Notamacropus eugenii: one gene and its partners. The protein of the gene in region 2 interacts with the protein of the main gene of each other region in a biochemical or structural test. Links are inferred from orthologs where the notes say so. Each region holds a gene or a part of one and is shown on either strand. Other genes may lie near its edges.

Evidence for each region.
Region 1: of the proteins of ATM (region 2) and EIF4EBP1, one has a biochemical effect on the other in vitro, tested with the Homo sapiens proteins (2 studies listed by BioGRID, with this or other methods). The link is inferred for Notamacropus eugenii from reciprocal best matches to the Homo sapiens genes ATM and EIF4EBP1.
Region 3: the proteins of ATM (region 2) and SMC1A form a complex in vitro, tested with the Homo sapiens proteins (2 studies listed by BioGRID and IntAct, with this or other methods). The link is inferred for Notamacropus eugenii from reciprocal best matches to the Homo sapiens genes ATM and SMC1A.
Region 4: of the proteins of ATM (region 2) and RPA2, one has a biochemical effect on the other in vitro, tested with the Homo sapiens proteins (3 studies listed by BioGRID). The link is inferred for Notamacropus eugenii from reciprocal best matches to the Homo sapiens genes ATM and RPA2.

The regions. Positions count from the first base shown.
Region 1 is NC_092872.1:622,944,889-622,951,898, reverse strand, and holds the start of EIF4EBP1 (eukaryotic translation initiation factor 4E-binding protein 1), read left to right. Parts: upstream 1-3,986; 5' UTR 3,987-4,081; coding exon 4,082-4,226; intron 4,227-7,010. UniProt on the Homo sapiens protein: Repressor of translation initiation that regulates EIF4E activity by preventing its assembly into the eIF4F complex: hypophosphorylated form competes with EIF4G1/EIF4G3 and strongly binds to EIF4E, leading to repress translation.
Region 2 is NC_092876.1:146,774,863-146,782,016, reverse strand, and holds the start of ATM (serine-protein kinase ATM), read left to right. Parts: upstream 1-4,130; 5' UTR 4,131-4,281; exon of another isoform or gene 4,282-4,390; intron 4,391-7,154.
Region 3 is NC_092874.1:178,917,629-178,924,631, forward strand, and holds the start of SMC1A (structural maintenance of chromosomes protein 1A), read right to left. Parts: upstream 3,014-7,003; 5' UTR 2,268-3,013; coding exon 1-2,267. Other genes in the region: inositol 1,4,5-trisphosphate-gated calcium channel ITPR2, read left to right, coding at 4,463-4,656. UniProt on the Homo sapiens protein: Involved in chromosome cohesion during cell cycle and in DNA repair. Central component of cohesin complex. The cohesin complex is required for the cohesion of sister chromatids after DNA replication.
Region 4 is NC_092876.1:69,021,181-69,028,630, reverse strand, and holds the start of RPA2 (replication protein A 32 kDa subunit), read left to right. Parts: upstream 1-4,426; 5' UTR 4,427-4,519; intron 4,520-4,626; 5' UTR 4,627-4,957; coding exon 4,958-4,967; intron 4,968-5,780; coding exon 5,781-5,887; intron 5,888-7,331; coding exon 7,332-7,433; intron 7,434-7,450. UniProt on the Homo sapiens protein: As part of the heterotrimeric replication protein A complex (RPA/RP-A), binds and stabilizes single-stranded DNA intermediates that form during DNA replication or upon DNA stress.

The DNA of each region.
Region 1 (7,010 bases), on a different chromosome or scaffold from region 2:
CCACAGGGCTTTGATAACCAAGCTGGAAGCCCTCCTCTGCCTACTTCAGCCACTTTAGTGGCCACTGGAACAAATTGTTCTCATCAGCCCATTCTGATGAGGAAGTCTTTGAATGCTTGGGTTACATATCTCCCTACCTCATTGAAGGGTTTGAGACCCCTGGTAGTAAAAAAAGGCATTGCCTTGTTTGTCTATGTTCCCCTCAAAATCCCTCTTTGGTTTCTTCTGTGCATTTTTAGATGTTTTCCTAGTGTTGTCTTCTTTTCTCTCAACATTTTTTTACATCATTACCACTAAAACCCTCCTCTAACACCAAGAAAACCTTTCCTTTTAACAAAAATGTGTTCAAGCAAAACAAATTTGTGTTGAAATACTCATGTTGGGCAGTTAATAAATGCTTTGGTGTGAAAATAAGTCAGTGTGTTCTGCTCCTTTTCTTTTCTATAGATCTTAAAACTACACAGTCTATTTCCTTTAGTCCTGATACATGTCTCATTCAGTACCTAAGGCTGAAGATGAGGTAGAAGGCCCTCAGGCAAGGAACTAAGGGGACCCTCCCCTTTGTAGAAAGGGGCACCCTTGGTAGAAAAAGAGACTGAAGCTCAGTTCTACCAGCTATCCTCCTCCCTGGCTAGGTTATTGCTTAATGTTTGGGAACAGATATCAGCCAAACCAATTCCACATATATATCCTCAATCATTTCTCTGGGCCCTCATTTAGATAATCTCCTTCCTTCCTAATCTCTTGGAGCTATTTCTGTGACTGGGAAACAGGAAACTTTATATGATAGAATGTGGATTCCTTGATGGAGGGGACTATGTCATTTTCAGTGTCCGGCACACAGTAAGCACTTAATAAGTGCTGATTGATTGATTGATTTCAAGTTTGTATCCCCTGTGCTTAATACAGTGTCTTATACGCAATACATATTTTAAAATCTTCATTAAGTTCCACCCTACCACCCCCAGTAAATTAAAAAAGCCTTTTCAGTTGAACTGTTCCTCAAAGATCCAACCCTACCTAGCCTAAGTAGGACTGGGGCTGGGAGGTGGGGGCAGGGGGAACGGAAGTGAATCATCTTCTACTTCATAGAATCCTAGACTTTCAAAACTGGAAGGGACCCTAGAGATCATTTCATACAAATCTATCGTTTTGCAAATGGTGAAACTGAGATTCAGAAGTAAACTGACTTGCTTAATTAAGGTCATACAATCTGTAATAACCATGTGACCTTACTGCTTAACCTCTTTAGGTCCTTAGTTTACCTTACCAGTAAATTGGAATAAGACCACCTGCCCTTTCTATATCATAGGATTGTTGTAAAGAAACGAATGAGTTATATCTATGTGTAACACAAGCCCTGCATTCACTACTCCAACCTCCCATTTGTACTGGGAGGGTGAGGCTGTGAAAGTCATCTAGCTACTTCTCCTTAGGGTTCTTAGGTATAACCCTTGGGAGTTGGGGGTTTTCCAATACTTTGGTTCACAGGCCCCCACCAGCACGCCCCAATAATGATTATCAACTGATATAAATTAGCCAGTCAGGCTTCATTAGCTTTCAGAGATGGGACTTGTCTGGGACTGCTTCCCACACTAAGCTGACCTAACACTGGAATGCCCACTTTCAAACTAGCTCAATATTTCTATCTAACCCACAGGATGTGACAGATACTTCCTATACACCCCAATATACTTCCTATGTAGCACCACTTCATTTCATGCAATAACTAGAAACATTTTGTTTCTTGCAAATTAACTAAAGACTTTTCTCACCCAATTGAATGCCTTAGATTCAACAGATGTATTCTTACTAATAAATATCAAGGTAGATCACATCATATTAGTTATTGTGGAGTAGGCAGACTGATTGATTCAACAAATTGCCCTCCTTAAAGTAAGACACTTTGTCAAATATTAAATGTCATAGATGTAAGGTCCATTTATTATTTACTCATTGGAAAACAAACTCTGGTGCAGACTGAGAGTGGTACTTGAAGCCAGGTTTTTCTAACTTCAAGGCTTAGTATGCTGCCTTTCTAATACTCTGCCTTGGTCAGATGAAATCTGAGTATTAAGCTCAGTTCTGATAACACAGTTGAGAAAGAATATTAACCTGCTGGAGAACAATCGGAGAAAGACACCTATCATATTATTAAGAAGGTATCAGGCATATTTATCCTAGAAAGGAAAGCTGTTATGGAGTATGTGTAGGGATAGCATTTGGAAGACGGATTAAATTTGCCTTTCTTAGTCCTAGCAGCAGAACAACGTCTAATAGGTAGAAGTCTCAGAGAGGAAGACTGAGGTGTGATATCAATCTAACAGTTAAAACCACAGTTGGACCCAAGAGTCTGGAGAACTGCTCTCTCTCCTCTCCATCAAGGGGCCCCGGCTCTTCTGGATCGAAACCCTGGGTTCAGTTCTGGTGAAGCATGACATTTAAAAGAAAGGTCAGTTTTATTTTTAGTTCTTTTTGGTTCCTTCTTGTCTTAGCACTCTGAGAAGAATTCTTAAAGGTCTGGGTTTGACTCATGTCTAAGATATTCCCAAAGAGGAGAACAGACAAGTATTCAATGTATACTGGAACAAATAAGCTAATCAGCAATTGAAAAGCTTTTTATTTCTTACACACACACAGACACACAGACACAGTTCTAAACACAAAAATATTCTCACTAGCACCCACTGACAGAGATTCAAAACAGGACCTAGTAACTTATATCTACTCCTACGTTCTCCTAGAAGGCTGGGAGCTAAAACTCCCCAAATTAAGCATTTGGTGGGATTGATGAAGGTGCATTTTCAGTTTCTCCTCAGCTCTACACAATCCAAACCATTTCTTCAAGGTTCATGCCCTCTGATAAGACCAGCCGGGGCTTCAGCCCTTCTGCTCCCTCCTACCCTCTCCAAGGCAGAAACTTCCAGCATCCCAGCTAGCTAAGGAGAAACGAGGTGCTGCAGTCAAGAGAAGGGCGGACTTAGTCAGGAAGGCGCGAGTTCAAATTCTGCCTGAGACTCTGGCTGCGTGACCCTGGGCGAGTCACTTAACTTCTTAGCCTCAGCTTCCTCGTCTGTAAAACGGGATGGGGGTGACAGCAATAAGCAGCATTTTGCAGTCTGTAGAACCCTGGAAAAGGGATTTGCAGATCTCTCATTTGGTATTTGGGGCTATTATTATCCCCACTGCACAGAAGAGGAAACTGAGTAAGAAATTAATAGCATTGCTAATGTCAGAATCACAGAATCTGGAGCTGGAAGAGATCTCAGACACCATCTCCTGAACCCATACCCAAACAAGCTTCCACTTGTCTGTACGTTCTCTGTTACTGGAATGTGCACTGACAGGAGTGACACTCGCAACACCATCCACGAACCAACCCCTTCACCCACTTTTTTTAACCATGCGGGTTGTAAACAAGGCCGACCAATCAGAGAGCAGGAGGGTGGTGTACTCGCCCACAGCCTTCTGGGAGATGTAGTCCACGGAGATTTTTCAGCACCACCCCATGAGCGAGGGTCTCCTGGCCCAAAGCATTGTGGGAAATGCAGTCCTCAGAATGCTGCTCTAAAGCGTTTGCTCTGGACCCGCGTCTGCCCTGGGGAGCTTAGCACTGGAGGCTATTAACACGCGCTTTCAAAAGCAGGAAATTGGAGAGGGGAGAAGCGTTCTTCCCACCCCCGCCGGGGGCCCCCTGTAGGGTCCGGGGGGAGCCTGGGCCAGTAGTTGCCGCGCGGCGGGCTCCCACCCAGAGCTCGATCCCCCCCCCTCCCCGGAGCTGCGGGGGCGCGCGGAGCCCACGTCGGGGAAGCTTCAGGCTGGCAGTCCCCCTCCCTGCCGCCACGGTCCCCACGGTGTGGCTGCCGCCCCGAGGCGCGGCGCGGGGATCCCAGGGGCCGCCACCTCCCTGGACAGCCGGGGCATCCAGGGCTTCGGGATGGGGGCGGGGGGTGAGGACTACAAGTCCCGAGGGGCTGCCAAGCTGCGGCGGCGGAAGGGGCGGTCTGGGGGCGGAACGGGGCGTGGGCGCGAAGCGGGGACCGCTGCCCCCGGGGTCCGCGGCTGCAGCCAGGCCGAGGCCATGTCTGCGGGCGGGAGCTGTGGCCAGACGCCGAGCCGGGCCATCCCGGCCACCCGTCGGGTGGTGCTGAGCGACGGCGCGCCGCTGCCGCCCGGGGATTACAGCACCACCCCGGGAGGCACGCTCTTCAGCACCACCCCCGGAGGTACGGTGGGGGGCGCGCCGGGCTGGGGGTACGCGGAGGGCACACCGGGGCGGGGGGCACAGCGGGAGGGGGGGAGCCGAGGCGGGCCAGGACTGGGATGGCGGGGAGGACCCGGAGAGGGGCCGAGTGGAAGGCCGGCCTGACGGCACGTGGAGAGCCCTGGATGCTCGGGCGCTCGCCTTTGGAGGAGGGGGCGCCTTCCGCGAGACCTCTGCCCCCGCTTTACCTCCCCCGCCGCACGGTCTCCGCGTCCCGGCCCCCGGCGGACCGAAGAGACAAAGAACTCTTCCCCAGCTCGAGTCCTGGCGCCGTTCTGGCCCCTCGCCCGTCCCGGGGTAGTGGCACGCCGGGGCGATGTCCGCGCGGGCACCCCTAGGAGGACAGCCCGGAGCCGGGCACTGCCAATCCTTCCTTCACCCGAAATCGCTCCCCCGGGGCGCTTTAGGGGTGGGCTTTAAAAAGCGGCAGGCTCGGTTGGAGGGGAGGCGAGGAAAGAGGAAGGTCCGGGAGGCGCCCGAGGGGAGCGTCCGTTTGACTTGCCAGTAACAGTCCGGAGTGGCCTAGAAGGAAGTTGAGCCTGGCACACGGTCGGGAAGGAGGGGGTGGGGGCAGCTTCGGGTTCCTCCGGTCCACGCAGCGTTCCCACGCAGCCCCAGGGAGTCGTGTCCGGAGGAGCTGATGAAACCCGCGCTCCAGTTTGCATAATTCCCCCCCCCTCCGATCTCCTGCCCCCGTCTCCTTTTGCCCCTTGCCAGGCTTTCGCCTCTCTCTCCAATCAGTACCCCGGGGAAGAAACAAAAAGCCAGAACCCCAGCAATTTCTCCGCTTCGAGTCGGGGCAAAAGGTCCCATTTCTGATTCCCGGCCCCAGACTGGAGGAAGGACTGAGGAAGGTCAGGGCTTGTGAATGCTGGCCTGCCCCTTCGGGGGCCACATGCTTATTTTCTCAGGCAGAGACTTGCAGCTGCCAGTCCCTTCCACGTTAGCGTTCAGCCCAAGTTGGGCACCCAGTAAGGCCCGAGCCCGAACACGGAATCCTGAGATGTTAGAACGGGGAAGAAATCTTGGAGATGATGTGTATCCGACTTCTTTATTTTTACAAGTTTGAGAACTGAGACCCTGGGTTAAAAGTGAGTTCCTATGGTCAGATGAAAAATCCCTTTGTTCTATCCAGATTTCATGAAAAGAATGCCATCATATAGCGTTTTAGCACTTAACAAAGTATTTCTCTTACCACCACATTCTGAGGTTAGTAGATTGTTACCTCTCCTTTAACAGATAAGAAACCTGAAGCTCCGAGTCTCAGACCATATTGGCCTTTAGGTCACTTCCAACTGAAATTCATTAACACTAGACTGAACCCCCTTGCCTTCCAGTTCCAAGACCAGCGCTCATTCCTTTCCACCTGGGGACTGAAGACACACTAGACAAATTTTCTTTCCTTCCACTTAGTTTTGGAAAAGCTGTTCCCTTTGCCACACATCTCAGTGACTTGTATTGACCCTCTTTTTTGAAGAACTTTTATTTTGTTTCCTCATTTTTAAGATGACGGTGTTGGATTAGCTGTTCTTTCCAGCCTTTCAGCTTTTTTTCTGTGTGTCATCTTTCCTTATTAAAATCTAAGCCCCTTGAAGCAGAGATGTGTCCTTGGTTTTGCTTGTATTTGTATCTCAAAACTCAATACAGTGCCTAAGTAAGCACCTAATAAATGGTTGTTTCCTACCTTCCCTCAGTCCATGACCCCATGTGATTGACTGTAGGGACATCCCTGAGACTTTTGAATTCAGCTCCTTTGGATGTGACTACCTATGGGGGACCGGGCATTGGCCTTTGCTTGGATGAAGCCAACTGCCCTGAGATTTAATGAGAAACATCAGCCTGTTAAAAGGGATTTTATGCCAGATGGTGTGTCGCATGCATACCTGTAATCCCTGCGCTTCATGAGCTCCAGTGGATTAAGCTATTTTGTCATCCCTATGACCCTACCCCCACCCTCCCAAGGCTTCACAGAAAAACATCCCCAGTTCTTTCAGTTGGTCTTTCTAGGACATGGACTTAAGATTCTTTACTGTTTTAGTTCAGTTAGCTAGATGGTATAGTAGATAGAGTGCCAGGCCTGGAGAGAGGAATATTCATCTTCCTGAGTTTAAATCTGGCATCAGACATTTATTAACTGTGTGACCCTGGGTAAGTCACTTAACCCTGTTTGCCTCTATTTCCTCATTGGTAAAATGAACTAGAGAAGAAACGACAAACCACTCAAGTATCTTTGCCAGGAGAACCCCAAATGGGGTCACAAAGAGTCATGACTGATTAACTAAACAAGAACAACAAAGCCAGTCATGTCTGAATAAGGTCAGGCACCGATGTGGTGAGCTCCTCTGAATGGATCGGCAGAGTTGTTGGGGGATGTGGGGGGGTGCGGCTTCATGAGAAGAGGCACAACAGTCCATGTGAGAAATACTGGTCCAGGTCTAACCGGGTTGACCTTCACTTGTAGCCTAGGAGAAAATGGGAGATCAGCTGTTACTTCCTCTTCCTGCGTTCCTTTGGACAGTGAAGAAATTCATGCATGGGGCCCCCCAGTTAGCTTCTTCCTCCCTTAGGTTGACAAACATTTGTTAAGTACTGGACACTGGGGAGTAGGAGAAAGGCCGAAACTGCCCTGCCCTCAGGGAACTTAAATTCTAAATGCTCTAAGATATTGAGGAACTGGGGGGGTACCAATGGCTGGAGAGAGAAGGGAAACCCAAGCTGAGTCTTGAAGGAAGCCAGGGAGACAGAG
Region 2 (7,154 bases):
GATATTTCAAACCAACTGGCCCAGAGACATCTCAAAATCAACATGGAATCTAAAACTCAACTCATTAGGAAAGTTTCCCAGTTTCTGTGGAAAGCATCTTTCCTTTCAATTTCTGAGGTTTGTAATCTTAACATTGTTTTGAACTCCTCATTCGCTCTTTCTCACCCTACATACTCAAGCAGTAGCCAAATCTTGCTATTTCTACCTTTGCAATAGCACTCCAATCTCATCCCTTCTCTCCACTCACACAGGCACTAACTTATTCAAGCCTTCATCATCTCTTGTTGCTTAAGTGTTCTCCTGCCTCTAGTCTTTCTCCACTCCACACACTACTGCCAAATTAATTTTCCTGAAGCAGATTTGACTGTGTGACTCCTCGATCAAATCTAGTGGCTTTTTAGAGTCTCTAGGATCAAATATAAACCTGTTTAGCTTTTAAAGCCTCATACACATTGGCCACAACTTGTTTTTCCAGTTTCAGTGGAAATTACAATTCCTCTCACACTTTGCAAATAAGTCAAACAGACCCCTTCCTCACAAATGGTCTCATCTCCCTGCCTTTATACTAGCAGTGTCTTCCTTTAAGATGTGGCTCAAGCACCATCTTCTGTATGAAGCATTTCCTCCCAATAGCCAGCGTCCTCCTTCCCAAACTACTTTGGATATATTCATTTATTCATTTTATATCTTCGCACTTAAGTGTTCTCCCTCTCTCGGTCTTTGTCCTCTTCCCCCCTCCACACACACACACACAGCGTGTCCCATTAGAATGTAATCTGATTCAGAGTAGGGACAGGTAAGGAATGTTTCATTCTTTGTACTTGCATCCCCAATGTCTGGATATAGTGATTGGCACACAGTAAGCCAAAATACTTATTGATATTTTCTCATTTTTATTCTTCTGTTCCTAGTTGACAAAGCTGTGGATGACTATGCAGTGGACAATTTAATGGTGAGTGAAAATAAGTCTGCAACATATTATCAAAGAAGAAATGCACAGAAAGAAAAGCATAAAAAGTATGGCTAAAAGAGAATACGGGTCATTCACCCATAGGGCAAGAGGAACAAGATAATTGAAGGACAGCATGTATGCTCCATTAGTACCCACACAATTTCAAGAGATCTAGCTAGGAGTGGTGGTGCCTGTCTGCTACTGAGGAGGCTGAAGTTAGTAGATTGCTTAAATTCATGAGTTCTGAGTTACGGTGTGCTAAGACTGATCAGTTGTCCTTACTAAGTACAACACCAAAATGGATCCTTACAGGGAAGCAGAATGCCAATGGAGAGGTGAAATGACCCAGGTTGGAAACAGAACGAGTCTAAACTCTTGTGCTGATCTGTGGTAGGACTGGGCCCATGAGTAGCTAGCTGCTGCACTTCCAGGCTGGGTGAGACTGGGAGAGCAAGACCTGCCCTCCACCCTGCTACAGAGATTTTGAAGGCTCCCAATACATTCAACAAATCATAGGATTTTAGAGTTTGACGGGACCTCAGCAGTCACTATTTTAATCTGTATCTAAAAAGGAATCCTTGCTACAATACGTTCAACAAATGGTTGTCCAGTCTGTTTAAAGACATTCAATGACAGGGAACCCATCATTTTCAGAGAAAACTATAATTGTTAATAAGTTTTCCCACCTGGTATCAAGTCTAAATGTGCCACTTTGCAATTTCTGCCCACTGTTCTTAATTCTGCTGCTTGGACACAAAGAGAATTGTGTTCTAAACCTCTCATCTCCTAATTCACCTAAACTGATCTCTATATGGCACGGACTCAAGTCCCTTCACTATCCTGGTCATCATCATTCTTTGGACACTCTTCAATTCATCAGTGTCCCTTCTGAACTCTGGCCCTCATAATCAAAGACATTACTCTAGATGTGGTATGAGTAGGGAAAGTATTCCTGAAAGCTATGCATATCCATGTTGACCCAAGATCACATTAACTTTTTTTGGTGCCTTTATCACACAATAGATACATATTGAGCTCATAGTTCACTAAAATCTCAGCTCTTTTTCAGGCCAAATTTGGCCTAATCATGCCCCCTGCATTTTGCATGGGTGAAAGTGATTTTTTTTGAGATAAGTAAAGAGTTTATTTACATTTACCCTAGTCAATTTCATTTCATTAGAGTTGGCCAAGGTTATCAGGATTCTGGGGTCTTTATTCTGTTATCCAAAGAGTTAGCTATCCCTCCCAGCTTTGTATTATCTGAAACTCTGATAAGCATGCTATCAAAGACCTCATCCAAGTCACCGACAAAAACTTTTACATGAGCAAAGAAGAACAAAGGACAGATCCCAGGGACACCCTACCAAGGACTTCCAAGAAGACCTCAAACCAATAAAGATTACTCTGACTATGGACATTTCAGCAATTCTCAATCACCCAACTGTATCACTGTCTACCTTGCATCTCTCCAGTTGTTTTTTCTTTTTTTAGCAGAAGTAGGATGAATAGGGAAGTACTAAGAAAGCACCTAGCTACCCTACTTGAGTTTAAGTCACTTGGTCCAGATAAACTATTTCCTATGATACTAAAAGCAGTAGCTATGATACCTGAGACATTGTCAGGATCTCTGAAAGATTATAGAGAAAAGGAAGGTGCCACAGGAATGGAGCACAAATACTGTCATAACGTTCAAAAAGGTATGTTTTCAAAGCGTAGACCAGTAAGCTTCAGTTTGGCAAAATTCAAGGAAGGATTACTACAGAGGCATCTAGAACATCTATAAAAAGAAAACATGCAAATACCAATGTGCAACGACCTATATACAGGACGAACTGGACATAACCAACAAAGAACAGGCATTAAAGGAAGTGAGATTTTTCGCCAGGTCTCAAAGGAAGTCGGGAGGCAGAGATGAGGGAGAGAATTCCAGGTATGAAGGGCAGCCAGTGAAAATGCCCCGAAAACACCGCATCTTATCAAAAACCCCATACAATATTAGTTTAAAAACCAGTTTAAAAATATGTCAAGTCTCTGTCACAGGCCCAGATTCTGAAAATATATGCGGCTCAAGCCTTAGCAACACAACTGTGGATACATTTTCAGAGAATATAAACACACACACACACACACACACACAAACTGAGCCACCAAACTGGAATGGCCCACCCCACCACGGCAACACAAGCTGGACAATGGAAGGAACCGAGTCATCCAAATGGAGGGCTGGAAACGAAGGCCCAATCTGCCTTTTCTCCTCGCCAGAAAACTGCAAAAATATAACGGTGGTGCCTCTAAAACGTGGAGCAGCGCCCGAGAGGCCGTGGGCCCGAGCCGGCCCAAAGCCTCCCGAAGGGGCTCCCAAGCCCGCGGCTCGGAACGCGACGTTGAGGACTCGGCAGGCGCTCCCCCCAGGAGGCGCTCCCCCCAGGAGGCCCTGGCCTGTGCTCGCCCCGCTCCAAGGCCGCCCAGCCCCGGCCCTGACGCGGATAACTGAGGGCAGGCAGGGAAGAGCCATCTCCTCCCCCACGTCAGGGTCCTCCCCGAGGCCGAGCCCTCACCTTCCCGCCTCGCCTCCCGTCGGGATGAGCGTCTGCTTCCTCGGGCACCCGTGGCAGGGGAGCCGCGCTACTCGACCCAAGGGGCCTGGGGCTGCCTTCGCCCCCAGGGCTAAGGAGAAGCCGGTCGCCGGTTGGGCTGGGAGGCAGTCTCCTCCGCCCACCCCACCTCCCCAAAGGTAAGCCGCAGAGCCGCAGACCAGCTCGGCTCGCCCCGAGGCTCCACTCACCCAACACTAGCCGGGCGACGTCGGACGGTAACAGCATGATCAGGCCTCTAGAAGGACTCTGAGACCCCAGGCACGTCTCAAAAACCTTCCGCGTAGCAACACCGAGACCGCATCTCTCGGTCCCTGCGGCGGCGTCAGCTGCTGCACCGAACCCGAGGCAACTCGTCCCGCCCCCTGGGTCCTCTGTAGCCAATCGCTCCTAGGAAGAAAGAAAGGCGCGGAAACGCGCCCCGCCCCAACCCTGACTGACAGGAACATCATTTCCGCTCAGGAATGAGGAAGGCGGGGCAGGAAATGGAGCTTGGGTGGTTACACGCCTGCGCAGCGCATCTTAATAAGGGGCTTGAGGGAGAATGGTCATTCTATTAAAACGTCGCGCCCTATTAGCGTACCGCTGCCTAGGAGAAAGGGGCGGGGAAAGGAGAGGATTAGTGGTACGCTTGCGCAGAGGGAGCCACGAAGGCTACGATCTCCCCGGATTCTCCCGCCATGGAAGGAGCCTGCGCACTGAGGGTTGTTTAAACCCGGAAGTGAGAGCTGTCGCGTGAGTGTGGAGCTTGTGAGCGGTCTGCCTGTGGGGAGAACAGGCTGGAAGGAGGAGAGAGGACCCAGACGGCCTTCCCTCTGGAGGCTGCGGCCTTCGGAGCCCTGCGGTAGGGGGCGAGGGAGAGCGCGTCCCGCTTCCGTGGGCTTTGGGATTCTGCTTCGGCATTCGCGGATCTGGGCGCCCTTTCCCCTTGTCCGCTCCGGCCACCACCGCCCGGGGATACCCCACTTCCCCGGGCCTGGACCCCGGGGCGGAGCGCTTTAAATCCCCAGGGAGGGGGCGGGGAGGGAGGCGCATCACCCCTTCCGCTCTTCCCCTTTCCCCTGCAGCCCTGAAGGCGAGCGCCGGCATTTCAATCTCTCTTTTCCCCATCCTCCTCTCTTGACTCTGGGTGGCTTCTGTTTGTCTTTGCTTCCCCCACCTGCCCATACCATTCAGCACCGAGCTGGAACAACCGTGGAATCCTGGACACCTGGTCTACCTGGCTGAAGCGGGTGCCCCCCATGTGACCCGTTACCTTGGGTACCTCCTCCTCCTCCTCTCTCCGGGAAGTGAGGGAGGGGCACTTTCCGAAATACCGAGTATTAATTACAGGGAGTTAAGCAGTTGCCAGTCACGATCCGTAAGAGTCCGGCTGTGAAGGAACCTTAGATGGGATCATGGAAACCTGGGGAGGTTAAGCGCTTTGTCTACGGCTAGACCGGGGTTAGTAATGGCAGCGAACGTTTGTAGAACACCACGTGCCAGGCGTGTGCTAAGGGCTTTACGGTGATCATATCTGACTCACGACCATCCCGGGAGGCGCTATTGGCGTCCCCGTTTTACAGGTGAGAAAGTTGAGGCCCCCAGGCTAAGTGACTTTCGGAGCGTAATGCAGCTGGATTTGAACTCAGATCTTGCAGATTAAAGGCTCCGTACTCTATCCACTTCATGGCCTTCTATGCCCATTGGAGTATGTCAGGATCCTCTCTCTTTTTACTATTAGGAGACAACCTGTTTTCCAGAGGTAGGGCTCAACAAGCAAGTTGTGCCCTGAACTTGGCATAAAAGCTTTTTATTTTTTTGAACAGACCTGCTGCGAATCAAATTTATCTCATTGCTGTTACCTCTCCATTGTTAGGGCTACAGCTTACTGCGAAGCCATTGGTCGTTTGTATTGAGATTTGTCCACATGAAGGGGGGAGTGTCCCCTAATAGAGGGGACCCTGCCACATGTATGTCTAGTTTCCTCCTCCAACAGGAAATCTCCAACAGAGTAAGGAAAACAATTTGCTTATAACCACTGTTAGCTCTTCGGTTTTATTTTACTTTATTTTTAGCATTAACTGTGGTTAACCTGTGTGAGCTCTCTAGTTTTGTTTTTAAGAGTTAACAAAGCTGCCATGACTGTTCATTTAGTCAGGGTTAACAAGTGTTAAGTTTTTATACCAAGATACCTAGATGTTATGTTTGCTCATTTTTTGGTGTATTGTTAGTCTTCTAGAATTTTAAGCCAAAATTCTTAGGAAGTTCAGCTCTACTTTTCAGTGAATAAATGAAAATACATTCATTAAACTCCTTATGTGCCAAGCTGTATGCTAATCCATGGGAATCAGATGCAAAAGGGAGACAGACCCTGTCCTCTTGGAGCTTATGTTCTAATGAGGGAATCCTCACATATAGGGTGGCAGCCAGGAAAGAGTAAAGTCAAAGGGGAGTAGAGCCTTAGGGCAATTGATTTTGCAGAAGTAGTTATAATGGTAGTTCTGTTAGGTTTACTTTTCCCAGAGCTAGAAGTGGAAATAGGGGAGAGAGGGGGTGGGGAAGGGGAGGAGGGCAGGAAGGTAGTAGTGAGGGGGAGTGTCCTATGCAATCACTTGGGCAAAAAGTTGTCTTGGTGGAGTGACTGGGGTGAGCCTGATGTAATGACCTCTCATTAATCAATAAGACCCCAGGGCAGGAGCCAGGGGTCCCTTGTGACTGTGGCTTTCTATGCAAATCAGAGGTGATTATCCTTGGACTTTGGGCTTACTCAATATGAATCATAAATAACTAACATTTAAAGATTTACTAAACTTTTCCCAAGACCTTTTGATCTAGATAATGAAATGATCATTATCCCCATTTTATGTATGGGGAACTGAAGTTCAGAAGTCACATAACTATTTAGTGGTGGGCCCATTATTTTAATTCATTTCTTCAGATTTCAGTTTTTTATTTTAAGAGGAAATAGGTAAAAAGAATGGGAAGGGTTTTCCTGAAAAATAATAGGTAGGACTTTATGGACCTTTTAAAATATTGGAAAAGCTGTTACATGTAGGATATTAATTTTTTTTTTTTATAATAACACATTCATGTACTTCTATAAGGAAAGGACTTTGTAGACCTGGAAACAATCTTGTAACGTAGGTAGTGCAAGTGTTATCCTCATTTTATCAATGAGAAAACTTGAGATTGGGGGGAGTGTGATTTGCAAATGGTTCATCAATCAGTATTTATTAATCTCCTTCTGTGTGCCAGACACTGGGGCTAGACTATACTGAGAATGCAAAGACATAATTGAAACACACTCTACCCTCAAAGAGCTTATATTCTGTGAGAAATACTACGTAAACATATCTACATGTAAGTAAACATATACAAAATAAATACAAGGTGGTAGTTGGAGGAGGGAAATCAGGAAAAGCTTCATGTAGAAATTGGTGCCTCGGTGGAGTTTTGAATGAAATAAGGGATTCTGAGCTAGAGATGAAAAAGGAGTGAATGCAAGGCTTGGAGTTCAGCCAGGGCAAAGAGATGAGGACAGGAGATGGAGTGTAGAATGCTAGAAAAGTAGTAATGTGTAACAGGGCCAAAAAAGTATAAGGAAGTCAGGTTGTGAAGGTCTTTAA
Region 3 (7,003 bases), on a different chromosome or scaffold from region 2:
TGAATGATCCTCTTGATGTCATTGATACGTGGGCCAAAGTTAGCCAGCTCACTCTCCAACTTGGACTTTTCCTGTAGATTGAGTGCAAGGTGCCGGGTCTTTGTCTGTTCCAGGTCACTCTGGGAGTATTTGAGCCTCATCTGCAAGCCATGAGCCTGAGACTGCACCTGCCTCAGCTCAGCCTCCTTCCGCTTGGCCTTCATCTGTTCCTTCAGCTCCTCTGTCAGACGTTCTTTCTTTTCCTTCAGTTTGTCAACTGCTTTCTCATCCCAGCGGCGGGCCTTGGCTTTGAGGTCACTTGCCCCTCCAGAGATGACACCGGACTTCTGGAAAAGTGTTCCATCTAGTGCCACCGTCTTGTGTCTCTGGTGGCCACCAAATGCAATGCGCCGGGCATCTTCAACATTATCACATACGAGAGCATTGCCACAGGCATACTGGAGGGCCTTCTTGATGTGTGGTGGTTCATAGCGAATCACATCAATCACCAGCTTGGCCCCCTTCAGTTCTCGAAGCTTCTCATCTGTTGGTTTCACTTCTAGGTAGTCAAGTGGTAAGAAGGTCTCAGGCTCTCCACGCTGTTCCTTTATGTACTGGATACAGTCCCGGCCAGTTTTCTCAGAATCCACAATGATGGCATCCATATTTTTGCCCAGCACCTTAGTCACAGCAATCTGATACTTCTTCTGTGTTGGCTGGCACAGATCAATGAGACGGCCATACACGGAACCAGGATAGAGGCGTTTGATGCTTTCCATTATCTCTGCCTTGCGTTGCTGCCGGCTACTTTCCTGTCGGTCTATGCGGGCATCACCAAGCTGCTCCATCACCTGATTCAGCTCTTTGTTGATTTCATCAATGCGCTGTTTGGCAAGTTTAACTTCCTCAGTGAGTTCCCCCTCTAGTTTTTTCTGTTCCTCCAGAGACTGCTTGCTGGTGGTGATGTATTCTTCCAGCTTCTCAATTCGCTTCTGATTCTCTTCAATTTCTCGAAGTTTCTGCTTGATCTTGGCCTCTGTCTCAACTTTCTTTCGCTCCTCTAAGTCCAGCCGGTCCTGGTCAGCCTTCTGGTCCCGGTTGAACTTCTCCAGCTCCTGGGCCAGGGTGGCAGCTCTCTTGCTTGCCTCCTCCTTCAGCCGGTGGTATTTTTTCACTTGGTTCTCCTCCAGAGTCAAGTCCCGACCCTGGCTCTGACTCTCTTCCTCCATGCGATCTTCAAACTCTTGCCTTGCCTTCTCCACTGACACCATTTCCTTTTCTAGTTCATCCATATCACCCTTTCTCTTCTTGTACTGTTTCTGGGCATTCTGCAGAGACTTTTTGGCAGCTTCCAGCTTTTTAATTTTGTGTGAAGTATTCTCCTTGGCCTTGATGTACTGGGGCCGCTTCTGATTAAGCTCTGAGTCTTTCTCCTTTATCTCCTTTTCAATCTGCTGCTGCTCACGCATCATTTTGCCTAGTTCTTTCTTTTTGTCTTTTAGTTCTTCTTCCACCTTGTCCATGCGCTTCTTCTCCTTGTCAATCTCCTTGTTCTTGGAAGTCAGTTCCTTATTTAGTTTCTCAATCTCCATCTCATTGTGATACAGTTTGAATAGCTGTAGCTGCACCTGCGCACGAACGACCTCATCTTTCAGCCTCTGGTAGCGGTCAGCCTCCTCTTTCTCTTGCTTGGCTTCTTTGCGCTCAGCCGCAATATTTTTCTTCCGGTGGTAATTGAACTGGGTATCTTCCTCAGCCTTGACCATCTCCTTCTTCCGCTTATCATACTCCTGGGCCAGTTCCCCAGAGCGGCTGATCTCTTCAAACAAGGCTGTCCGCTCCTTGGGGTTCTTCATGGCAATAGACTCCACAGCACCCTGGAACACGAGGAAGTTCCGAGCTTTGATGAGGATGCCCAGTTTCTCCAGCTCTTGGCTGTATTCAAGCAGCTGGACCACTTTGTTATTGATTTTGTACTCTGAAGAGCCCCCCACAATTATCCGGGCAAAGGTGCGGTCCTCACCGCTGTCCTCAGAATACACCATGCTGACCGCTGCACGGTTGGCGGCTGGCTTGCCCACGGGAGCCCCGTGGATCAGATCCCGCAAAGTCTTAACGCGCAAATTGCTGGTCTTCTCGCCCAGCACAAAACTGATAGCGTCCATAAGGTTTGACTTCCCTGAGCCATTAGGCCCGATAATGGCTGTGAACCTACGAAAGGGCCCGATGATCTGCTTGCCCTTGTATGACTTGAAATTCTCGATTTCGATCAGTTTTAGAAACCCCATGGCGATGCAATGCGGGGCTGCAGCACCGGAGAGCGCGGGGGCGGGGACAGGGAGGCAGGCCCGGGGCAATGGGGGGTCCGGGAACAAACACAAACAGCGGGATCCCGGGCTCTAGTCAAGTCTCGCGAGACGCGCCGTGCGCGGGATCGCGCGCGCTTCTGCGCATACGTGTGCGCGCGCTTGCAGGAAGAAAGGCGGGACTCCAGTTAAACCCCCCGATTCCAGTACTCGCCTGCCTCCTGCGTGCCCCCGACGAGCAGGGTGAAGCCAGTTCTCTCTGTATTTCTTGCTCTTAGTCGGCCTGGTGCGCTTGATATGCTCGTAATCCCAGGAAGTGCCGGGGGAAGACAACCCCGCCCGCTCCCAGCGTCCTCAGGACTTGCCCGCTTTCTGCGCCTGCGCAGATGAACCGATTGAAGCGGAAGGGACGACCCCTCCCCCTTTGTCGTCATCCAGCTCTCTTGCTCCCGCCTTGTGTACCTAATGCGCATGTGCACACTGGCGGGCCCGCGGAAGGGGTGGGAAGCCTGCAGTGGCTCTTAGCCCCACCTACGCCCTGGCTTCTCCCCTTGCTCTCCGCTTACCCGTCCAGTTTCTTCCCGCCGTGAGACTGACGGCTTTCTCTCTCTTTGGCGCGCTTTCTCCTTCCTCCCCTCTCCCGCCACTTTCCTCTGCCAACCAGAGACCTTTTTTTCTCCGTTTGCTCTCCGTCTCTGTTTTTACGTGTGTCTGTGTGTGTGTGTGTGTGTCTGTCTGTGTCTGTCTGCCTCTGCCTGAGCTTCATCGCCCCCCCCCCCCCCCCCCCCGGCCAACATCTCCTGTAAAGCGCGGGGTGGGGGTGGGGGTGTGCTGGGGGTGGGCTGGGGTCGGGGGCTGTAGGATTCCACTGCCCACCAGGCATTCATTCTGTCGGCGGATCTTTATTATTGGTGTGTTCACTCTGCCTCCAGCCTCTCTCTCCAAACCCCTCCTTTGTCCCGGGTCTGTCACAGTGATCCCCCAGGCTTGCTTATGGATTCTTTGAAATGTTTCTTTGGAATGCTGCCCTTCTGCAGATACATTGTTTCTCGAAAGGTGTAACAGAATGGATTCATTTTTACCAACTGTTAACGGGCGTAGTGGCCGCCAAGTTTTTAGTTTTGAAACCTATGATCGTGAGAGTCTGGAAGAAACCATCAAGATTCACTTAATGCTTCTGGAAATTATTTTCATTCTCTTCACTTTTCCATCTTTTGAATGTTTCCACTCTTTTTATCGCTTTGAAAAGAGTGTTCCATTACATGCTGCAGTATTTCCATTTTCTTCTTGGTTTATTCCCCTGAATTACTTAGGCAAAGAATAATTCACCAAAACAGGGGGATCCTTTATGTTTGCCCAGAGCCCGACTCCTTGACCTATTTACTCTAAGATTACTACAAAGAAAACATAATCATTTATTTGAAACAAACTTGCTTACCTCAGGAGCTCTAGAATAGAGAAGTACATGTGAATTGTTGGAACTGAATAAATTGTTGGCACTCGGTGGGATTTTTGTCTTTTTCCAACAAATATACCAGTGTGGAACCATACACAGAAGAAAGAAATAAATGGGAAGTGAGCCCTCAATTGAATATTATCATATTTGTCACTAACTTGTTCCAGTAATTACTCTGAACACAATTGCTGTTTTGTGAATTTGGAATAGTAGTTTTCAATTCAAATAGTATATTTTTTCTTAAAACCAAAAGTCATTGAAATAGACAATAATTAGTATAACTTTTGTTTTTTGCAAAGAGAAGCAAAATAGAACCTTTGCTTGAGGATAGGATCAGAAATCATAATTTCCCATTAATCTTGGACTATGGGTAAAATTTTATTTCATGAGGACCTCATTTGAATGTCATCAGAACTATCTATAACAGACAACTTTAGTATTCTATTTAAAATGCTTCTTGGAAAAAAATGAATTTGCTAATAAAATATTTACCTGGATTTTTGAGTTGTTATTGGAATATCAGTTTTTGCCAGCACATTTGTATACACACACACACATACTGTATATATATATATATATATATATATACATACACACATAAAAATATGATTATTAATGACATTTAATATTCTTGTCATACATTTAAATGTATATTTACCTGATGGATGTTATAACTCTTTGTGTACTATATGTGCTTGCTTATGTGCTTTTCTTCTTCTAGGAAATAATGTTATGCGAACTATCCATGGTGTTGGAGAGATGATGACCCAAATGGTCCTCAGTAGGGGATCTATCTTTCCAATGTCTGTCCCTGATGTACAGCCTAGCACCCATCCAATCAAGCAAGCAAGTACAACTGATAATGAGGACATCACTGTTATGGACACAAAATTAAAAATAATTGAAATTTTACAGGTAAAGAATTTGATAAAAACAACCTAGCAAATACCCCTCTCAACTTAGGTTGGTCTGATGATCATAGAGAATAAGAAAACCATTGTTAATTGTAAAACACTAAGAGCTATTCTCATTGCCATTTCCCCTTTCTTCCTCACATTTGCCCTAAACTTGCCACCTGTTACATGTAAGTTCATATAAAAAATGCTCATATATAGTTTATTTTATTTGTTGTGAATATGGTATGTCTCATAATGGCATTAACTTTTATTCAATATTATGTCAGTTCCTTTTTATTTAAGATATGACACACTTTATTATTATTATTATTTTTTAATTCAAGAGTTATTTGATGGCAAGGAAAGCCCATGACAACTCTAAGTCTATAATAATAATTTATGTCTGACAGCATTTGATTTTATTTATTGATGTAGATAATGTAAAACTGGGAGGGTAGCTAACACATCTGACCTCACTGGACATTATTCTCCCTCCTGCATTTTGCAATACAGCCAACTGGACTTTTATTTTTTTTCCCTTACACATGAAACTCTGTCTCCTGACTTCATGCCTTTATACTGGCTGGTCTGTACTCCCTTATTACTTCTGCTTCATAGAATCCCATTCTTCTTTAAGACACTGCTCAAACACCCTCTTTTGGGTGAAACCTATCCTGATTCCTCCAGTTGCTAGTACCCTCCCTCTCTGACTCTATTATATTTAACTACTTTGTATATATTTGCATTTATCAGTTTTAGATTTATACTGTATGAATAAGCATTTATTAAGAATTTACTATGTTTAAAGCATACAAATAGAAGGGTGGAGACAGTATCTCTTCTCAGGGTTTCTGTGTCTACTCACATTCTAATAGGGGGATGCATCACATATCTATCTGGTGCAAGTCAAATGAAAAGATTCCATGACCGTTAGGGGATAGCAGCAAAGCAGATAGTGAAGCATCTTCTTTAATAGTCATTTTCACTGATAAAATCACATTTGTTTTTAACTTTAAGCTCATGGACAGTGACTTTCTTTACTGAGTCTTCAATAGATGTTGCCTTTTGAGGAGGCAATGACTTTAACCCCTGAAGAAGCAGTTGCCAGGTTACATCTTTTCAGAAGTTGCTTTTTTGGGATGGTAACTGTTAGTTGGGGCTTGGGTGGCCCCCAGACCCTGACTCTGTTTGTATTTTTATATATATTTCCTGTATCCCTCATTGAAATGTAAGGTCTTTTAGAGAAAGGGTTGTTATTTTCTTTGTACTTGCATTTATACTTGTGACTAGAACAATGCCTGCCACATTACTTGATGGTTAACTGATAAATACTATTTCCTCAGATCAGGACATCTTGTGAGTAGTGTTTGATCCCTAACACAGGTTGAGAAACAGTTCTATCAGATAGGGCACAAACAGATAACATACAATTTCTTCTTGGTCTCCAGATAGTTCTTTGATTTCTAATTTATAGATCATAGATATAGAACTGGCATCTAGTCCAACTCCCTCATTTTACGTATGAGGAAACAGAGAGGTTGAGTGATTTGCTCATGCAAATATTAAGTAACAGAAGCAGCTGTATATCATTTAAACTTTGAAAGCAATCATTTATATATGAACCAATGGACAGCAATACCTTGCAGCCCCTCTGCCTTTGGTTAGTTTGTCTTTTTAAGGGGCATGCTTGTGTTCGAAGGCCTCTCACTGTGTTTCTCCTTAAGCCTTGTACCCATGGCACTGTTTTTTCTCTTTAAGTTGCTTTTGTTTGTGTTTTTCGTCTTGAGTGTGAGTCCTGCCTCTATCGTAATGTGTAATCTTGGACAGATCTTTTATTTTTTTTTCTGGTCCTCAGTTGCTTCAAATGTCTTTAAATGTCTTTTCCAGCTCTAAACTGATAATCATATTATCCTTAATAAATACTTGTTGATTGATGTCTACAGTCAATGGATCAGTTTAAAAATAGATCTTTTGCATAATACTAAAGTAGAAAAAATGAAAAAAAATCCTAGTTACATTCATCAAATCTTGTTCTTATCGGATACTTTTAATGCTATATTACATGTACCTGACAGCAAACTGCTCCATTTAGGCTATTAACATAGGTCCTGACTCCCAGGGTGAATCATAGATATATCTGGCATCAAAACTTGGGAGTACATACAGATCTTTTGTACCTGTTATAGCTGAAAGTCATGCCTTTTTTGTGCCTGAATGAGGGATTTGATTATCATCATAGTTCCTCAAGGAGAAATCTATGTTATTAGGTGACAATATGACATCATTACCACTTGAAGCAGAATAACTCAGTGTCTTCATCTGGAAAGTTTCACCAAACAGGTGTGCTTTGATACTACAGTGGAAGA
Region 4 (7,450 bases), about 78 Mb from region 2:
TTCGCAACTTACAGTACCCACAGTTTTGGGGGGGGCGGGGTGTGTTTCAGTAGACTATGAAGAATTCATTATATTTGTGAACTTATCCAACTTTTAACCAACTTGCCATTCCAGTAATTTCTTGTAGTGATCCCCTCCCGCTTACACCCCATTTTAACATCTACATGCTTGTATTGGCAAGCTGTGCTCTAAAACTCACCTAAAGTAGCTAGATGTACCTACCCTCCCTTTATGCCATCTCCACGGCAGACCAACAGGGGAGTTCTATTATCTCAAGGGGGATTTCTGTATCTAAACATTAAAACCTATTGCTGACTGTGATAGACATGTCCCCTCCAACAACTAGACTGCTTACATGAAACTATCTCTTAATAGATACTGTAGGATTTTTAACCATCACTGTTGATGGTGATTAGCACATTAACACAATGATCCTATCATCTGCTTCATGAAGTTTTGCTATTTAAGGTAAATCTTTTGGGACTTGAATTTGATCTAGTTCTGAGTTTTTTATATCAGGTATACTTGTAAGCACAAAGTCAATAACCCATTATTCAAGAGACTGCCATGTGCTGTGAGCTGAGAACTTTTGAGGGTGGATGTTTGCTCTGGGGAGACCACCTGGTGAAGGTGAAGGTAAGATCATCTTGACTTGGTTTCCCATCAAGCTACTTACTTTTTCAAAGGGAAATTTTCCCACCTAGATAATTTGAACCTGGCTTTGATACTCTGTGAATAATGTGGAATTTGAATTGGCTGTTTTGTCTGGAATAAAAACAGAGCTAAGGGTTCCCTTGTTGTGGCTTCTCTGTATCATCACAACCAAGTCTCTCCTTTCCTTTCATAGCAAATTTCTATAATAAGGGCTTGAAAAATGGGAAGTGTGTGTGCCAATTAAAGCACTTCAGCTTATAAAATGGATTTAGAACACACAATTACTAATACTGAACCATTTGAGTTACCTTAATAGAATATAAATATGAAATATCTTCCTTGATTTTCCTCTAGCTTGTAGTTTTGTTTGTGTATGTAATACAGGAATAACTGGTTGTTGCCCTTTGTTCTCAAAGAAGAGCAAAATAACATCACTACGTTGGAGTCGAAGTACAATATATCTGACTGTGGCTGATCAGACCAATACAAGCTACTACAGGTCAGACACAAATAACCCATATGAACATTTGGAGTGGATTGTAGTTTTATTCATATATATAATGTAGGAATATACTCCTATATATTCTCATAAGGGATGAATTAGGAAATGTGACAATTTTCAAAATTGCATTTATTTTACATGAAAAACTGCATTGATAATTGTGAAGGTGAAATTATTTTCCTATTTGAAAAATCAATCTGATAAATTTAAGAGAAAGACTCACTTTAGAAAGAAAAACTCATTTTCCAATTCAGGACCTCATGATATAACAACTGAAATTCTCTGATGTTTCAGGTGAGTTATTTTGATACTCTTCTTATAGCTCTATTAATAAAGTCAGAATCATAAAGCCTGAGCCAGAAGGTTGTATTGATGGTGTCCTCAGGCCCCAGCCCTAAGATCATTATCTGGAAGCCTTTCAATTTCTCAGTAGGCCCCTGTCCTGTGAGAAAATTTTCTCGTTGAAGAACACATTCTCTTACCAGAACAGAGAGGAGCCTTGCTCAAGGATTTTTGTCTCTAATTGGCCCAAGAACTCTCTTGGAACCAGACCCTTAAGGTCCATGCCTTTGAAAACTCCCTCAATGTCTGGTATTCCCTATACTTTCCCATCCATAGCTCCCAAAGACACTTGGACCCCTAGATTACCTAATTAACATTCCTGACATTCCTTTCCCACACCCCTTTTCTGTATAAGCCCTGGCACCATCCTAATTCTCTTACACGTTCCTTTGCCTGCTTTTGCCACAGTATTACAATAAACTTTTTGCCATTTGACTAAGAGAAGACTTGAGTGTGTGAATTCATTCCAGGCAACTCTGCCTGGACATTCTTGGGGTCCCAGCACCCCCAAAACCTTGTCAGTATTAAATTGTATTGAGTTGGTATCAAGTCTTCCTACAGGCTCTTAGAACCTGAGAAGCAGATCTGGAAGGAAGAGTCCCTTCAGACTCCCATGAGCACGTGGCTTATTCTAGAAATGTCTGTTACCTCCTACATCTGAGAATTCCAAAAGTAGGCTGAAAGAATTCCACAAAGGGGGGGTGGGGCTGCAATACGAATTGGACCTTTTTCATCTACATCAAGAATTTCTAGTGAACTGCCTGAACCTGACAAAGGACTTTGCCAACACTCTCATTTCTCTCTTTTCCTTATGTGCTGATGCCTCTGTACCAGGCGGGATTGCCCCCTAAAAGACTTTGTCAATGTGCTAATGATAAAGGTAGTTATAAGATTTAGCCTGATGGTTCTGAGGCCATCATGATGGTTTTCCTCTTGAGGGAAAATCAGACATTTCCCTCCCTACAGCTGCTCCACCATTAGCATGTAAATGTAGGGACTGTCTTTTTGTCTGAATTTGGATTTACAGCCCTTAGCAGTGTTCAACATAGAGCTTACCACACAGCAAGTGCTTCATCTATCTTTCTAAATATTTGTCCTATGTGATTAGTCTTGTTATTTAGTTTCAGAATGCTAACAACCAATAGAAGTTGCAGAAAGACATACTGAGGCTCAATATAAGTGAAAGTTACCTCATAAAGCAGTAAGCTCTCCCACAGGAGTTCTTCAAGCAGGGTCTGGAGAACTGACCACTTGTTTCCATTGCTGAAGAGGATTCCTGGTCAGTTATGGGTTGGACTAGATCTAAGATCTTTTCTAACTCCTGAGATTCTGTGAACTTTCCTTATTAATTAATGTAACGAAACTGCATTTAAAGCCTTAACAATTTGGCTCTAGTCTGCCATTCCAGATTTACTACACATTGTTCCCCTTCACATGTACCTTCCAGTCAGAATATACTGACAGCACTTCCCATCTTTGCCCAGACTCTCCCTATTCCTGGACCATACCTCCGTCTCCCTCAAAGCTTGACCCTAGAGCTATTTCCTACAGAAAGACCTTCTTGATCTCCACCCCCACCCAATTCAAGTCATCTTGAATTTGTTCTGTATGTTGTTCTACTTAAACATTGTTGGCCCTCAATGGAACATAAGCTCCTTCTGGGCAGGTTTAGTTTTTCACTCCATGCCTTTTAAGTGGCTGTACCGCATGCCTGGAATCCTCTCCTTTCAAGTCCTACCTGCTTACAAGAAAGCTTTTCCAGTGCCCCTTGTTGCCAAGGGCCTTCCCTGTGAAAGTTTGATTTTTTTTATTATTAAAGGGGCCATCCCTTGACTCACGTTTTAAAGAGGCCTATTCCCTAAACGGGCATTACCTCCCTTTCAGTGAGTACCTGAAAAGGCCAGCCTAAGGAGACCAAGGTCTCCCACTGCCTCCTGGGCCATCTCCAGCCACCCCGATGAATATCTGGTCATGGAGCCAGGTGGCCCAGGAGGAGAAAGTGAGGCCGGTGACCTCGCATGGCCCTCGCTCCCTGACATCAAAGTCAGGGGCAAGTCCCGTCATCAAGGGAGACGGGAGGACGGACACAAGTCTGACGGGACAAACACCCACACCTCCCACCTACCCTCTGCACGCAGCTGTCCACCCCTCGTCTCCCCGTGAGATGGCGAGCTCCCTGAGGGCAAGGACCTTCCTTCCCTGCCGCGTCCTTGGGTCTCCGCTGCCTAGCACCGTGCCAGGCACACACAAGTCGGTTAATGAGTGCTTATCGGTTACTTGGCTGCAGCACCTGGCCGGTAACGGCCGGGATTAAGTGCGCTTGGGTGGACACTGGCTGCTCCGCCCGCCCTCCGAGCGGTGATAACAGCGCCTGCGGAGGGGCAAGGCGGCAGGGCGCCCTCGGACCCCGGCCCCATCGCGGGGAGGCCCGGGCCGGGGAGCTCGCGGTGTGGCCGGGGAGCTCGCGGTGTGGCCCGGGGAGCTCGCGGTGTGGCCGGGGGAGCTCGCGGTGTGGCCGGGGGGTGCTCGCGGTGTGGCCGGGGGGGTGCTCGCGGTGTGGCCGGGGGAGCTCGCGGTGTGGCCGGGGGAGCTCGCGGTGTGGCCGGGGGAGCTCGCGGTGTGGCCGGGGGGGAGCTCGCGGTGTGGCCGGGGGAGCTCGCGGTGTGGCCGGGGGGGAGCTCGCGGTGTGGCCGGGGGAGCTCGCGGTGTGGCCGGGGGTGCTCGCGGTGTGGCCGGGGGGGTGCTCGCGGTGTGGCCGGGGGTGCTCGCGGTGTGGCCGGGGGAGCTCGCGGTGTGGCCGGGGGTGCTCACGCCCCCTCGCCAGGACTCACTTTCTTCCACTGTAAAAGAGAGTGCGAGGAGGCAGGGTCGGACTCGGTGACCTCGAAGCCCGTTTCCGGTGGCGGATGAGGAGAACAAGCTGCGCCTGGGTCCAGAGAGCGCCGACCGGACGTTAAGCCGGACCAAACCGTCCGCGCTTGCGCCCTTCTCAATCAGCCACGAGACTTCGCGACCCTAGAGGTGAGAAAGTTACTAGAGGGGGAGATGACGTCACCTCCGAGGGGCGGGACCACACAGAGGTAAGATCCTACTTTTTCATTGGTCGCTTTCCGGGGATGTTTCTCTAGCCTGCGTTTCTAGCTCGAACGGGTTCCTGGCCGTACCAAAGATGGACGCAGAGACTTCACGTTTCTCTCGCGCGTCCGAAGCGTGCGCACGCCTCTCTAGCATTGCCCAAGCCCATTGGGTAAACCTGGAGTATCGTCGGCGTTGATTGGCTGAAAGGGGCGGAAGGGAAAGCAGCCAGCGAGTTGATTGGCGCAGCCGTTCGCGGGAGAGTGTTTGTGGCGCCAAATAGAGTCAGGTTTCTCCTAGGTGGGGACACTGCGGGATTCCCCGGTTCGGAGTGGACTTTGTGGACCCCGGCCCCGCTACGGCCCTCGGGGCGCTGCGGTCAACATGTGGAATAGTAATGGAGGAGCTGGGCGAGGGGCTTTTAGGGGACGGGGCGCAGGAGGGGAAAAGGGAAATGTGCAAAGTGGTGGAGAGAGAGGCTCGGCCAGGTCCGGAGGATGGGGGTGCTGAGGTGGGGGCAGCGGCGGAGAGCGGTGTGGCAGCAATGTGGGGCGGGGGCAGCTGGGGAGAGGGGTCCTGGAGGGGTCTGGAGATGGGGTGCTAAGCGGGGGACCGGGCGGGGCTCGCCACGCATCTGGGGATAGGTGTCGGGGGGGGGGCGGGACCCCAGAAGGGAGGGGGGAGAGAGACCCGGCCCTGAGCTGGGGCTGGGAATCTTGGGGGGGGTGGACTCAGGAAGGGAGGGGGAGAGAGACCCGGCCCTGAGCTGGGGCTGGGGATCTTGGGGGGGTGGACTCAGGAAGGGAGGGGGGAGAGACCCGGCCCTGAGCTGGGGCTGGGGATCTTGGGGGGGGGGTGGACTCAGGAAGGGAGTGGGGAGAGACCCGGCCCTGAGCTGGGGGTGGGTGGACTCAGGAAGGGAGGGGGAGAGAGACCCGGCCCTGAGCTGGGGCTGGGGATCTTGGGGGGGGTGGACTCAGGAAGGGAGGGGGAGAGAGACCCGGCCCTGAGCTGGGGCTGGGGATCTTGGGGGGGTGGACTCAGGAAGGGAGGGGGGAGAGACCCGGCCCTGAGCTGGGGCTGGGGATCTTGGGGGGGTGGACTCAGGAAGGGAGTGGGGAGAGACCTGGCCCTAAGTGGGGGTGGGGGCGGGGTGCTCTTTACGGGGTGGAGGATTCTTGACCCCTCCGACGTCTTTGCCCTCCAGGTGGGTTTGATGGAGGCTATGGGAACACTTCCTACGTAAGTGGAGGCTACACGCAGCCCCCAGGGGGATTTGGCACTCCTACCGCTTCTCAGGCTGAAAAGAAATCAGTAAGTTGAAAATGAACACTTGCTACTGTTTCGTTTACTTCTTCCTAACGTGACTCCTTGCTTAGAAAAGAATACCCATTTGGGGTATTTTAAGTCTAAACAGGATTGACATATCAGATGTCTAGGGGCTGGGCTGGGCCGGGCCAGAAAGGATGTGGAGATAAGCTTAATAAATGTTTATCCAGGCTTTCTTTATTTTGTATTGGTTTCTGTGGTTTCATTTTTTAGCTTATTAATTAGCATCATAGAGAAACAATAAAAACAGAAAAAGGAAAATGAACAGAACATTCAGTTGATCAGCATAGACAGTAGAAATAAAATTGTGATTTTTCTGACTTTAGCAAGTAGGAAAGGGCTTCCTGATTAGGTACTGGAAGTGAGTGTAGTTAATTGGAACCTCCCCTTTATCCTGAGGACCACAGAAGGGAAAGGGGATCCAAGTGGTGGGGTGAGCCCTGGCTCATAGAAATCCTCAACAGTAGCCACAACTCCCATGGAATCACTTCTGAAATCTACCCAAAGGACTGTCTCAAGATGAGGAATACATCCCATCCCTTTCTCTTTTACCTCTACTTCCGAGGGCTCTCCAGCAATATGGTTTCACTTTAAAATTTAACGCAACAGCTAATGAATCTTTTCCCAAGTAATTTGCTCTTCCTCACATTCAAGGCTCCATCTTCCAGCTCCATGCCTTTGAGACTTTTGTGCTTTGGAATGGTTGGATTGTAGATCTTGACTTTTTCTAAAACTAGCTGCTGATTAGATTACACATAGACAGCTGATTCTGATGTATTCCCTATTTCAGTATCCAGTTTATTGTAAAGGTAGTTTGACTTCTTTTGTCATATTGTTTATCAGATCCATTGTCTTTGAGTGTCTACTTGGAAAAAGTATTCATGACTTCTGGTTGAGAGACTTCTGGGTGGTTAACATGCTTTTGGCTTTTTTTGTGTGTTAAACCTGAACTACATTTTCCAGCCTCCTCAGAACCCAGCTTTATATTGAAGATGCCAGTTATCAAAATAGACATAAACTTGGTTTGCCGGTGCTTGTCAGGTTCTTTATATAACTTTCTACTTCTTCGTTCTCTGCAATAAATGTTGCCCCGTGAGCTGCCGTTTCCTTCACAGGGGTCTCTGCTTCAGCTCATCGTGATAAACACAGGAAGGTGACATAATATGTTCATTGAAATGTTTCTTGTTATTGCTCACACAATGAAACCAACTCTGTGGATTCTTTCATTTGCCTTTCCAAGGAGAACCTCCCATTTAGTTCAGCTGCCTTCTGAATCTGTTTTCTCTCATTGACGGAGGAGAACTTCAGCTTTATCTACTCTGTTTCATTTTTGTTTTTACTATTGAGTCTTAGTATCCAACTGGTTCAGTTTTTCTTTGAGATCCCTGTGGTGGTACGAGGGAGACTGACAGGTGCTTTCTCTTTACAGAGAACACGAGCCCAGCACATTGTCCCTTGCACCATATCACAGCTTCTTTCTGCCACCCTGATTGATGAAGTATTTAAGATTGGGGACATTGAGATTTCACAGGTATGGCAACAACATCT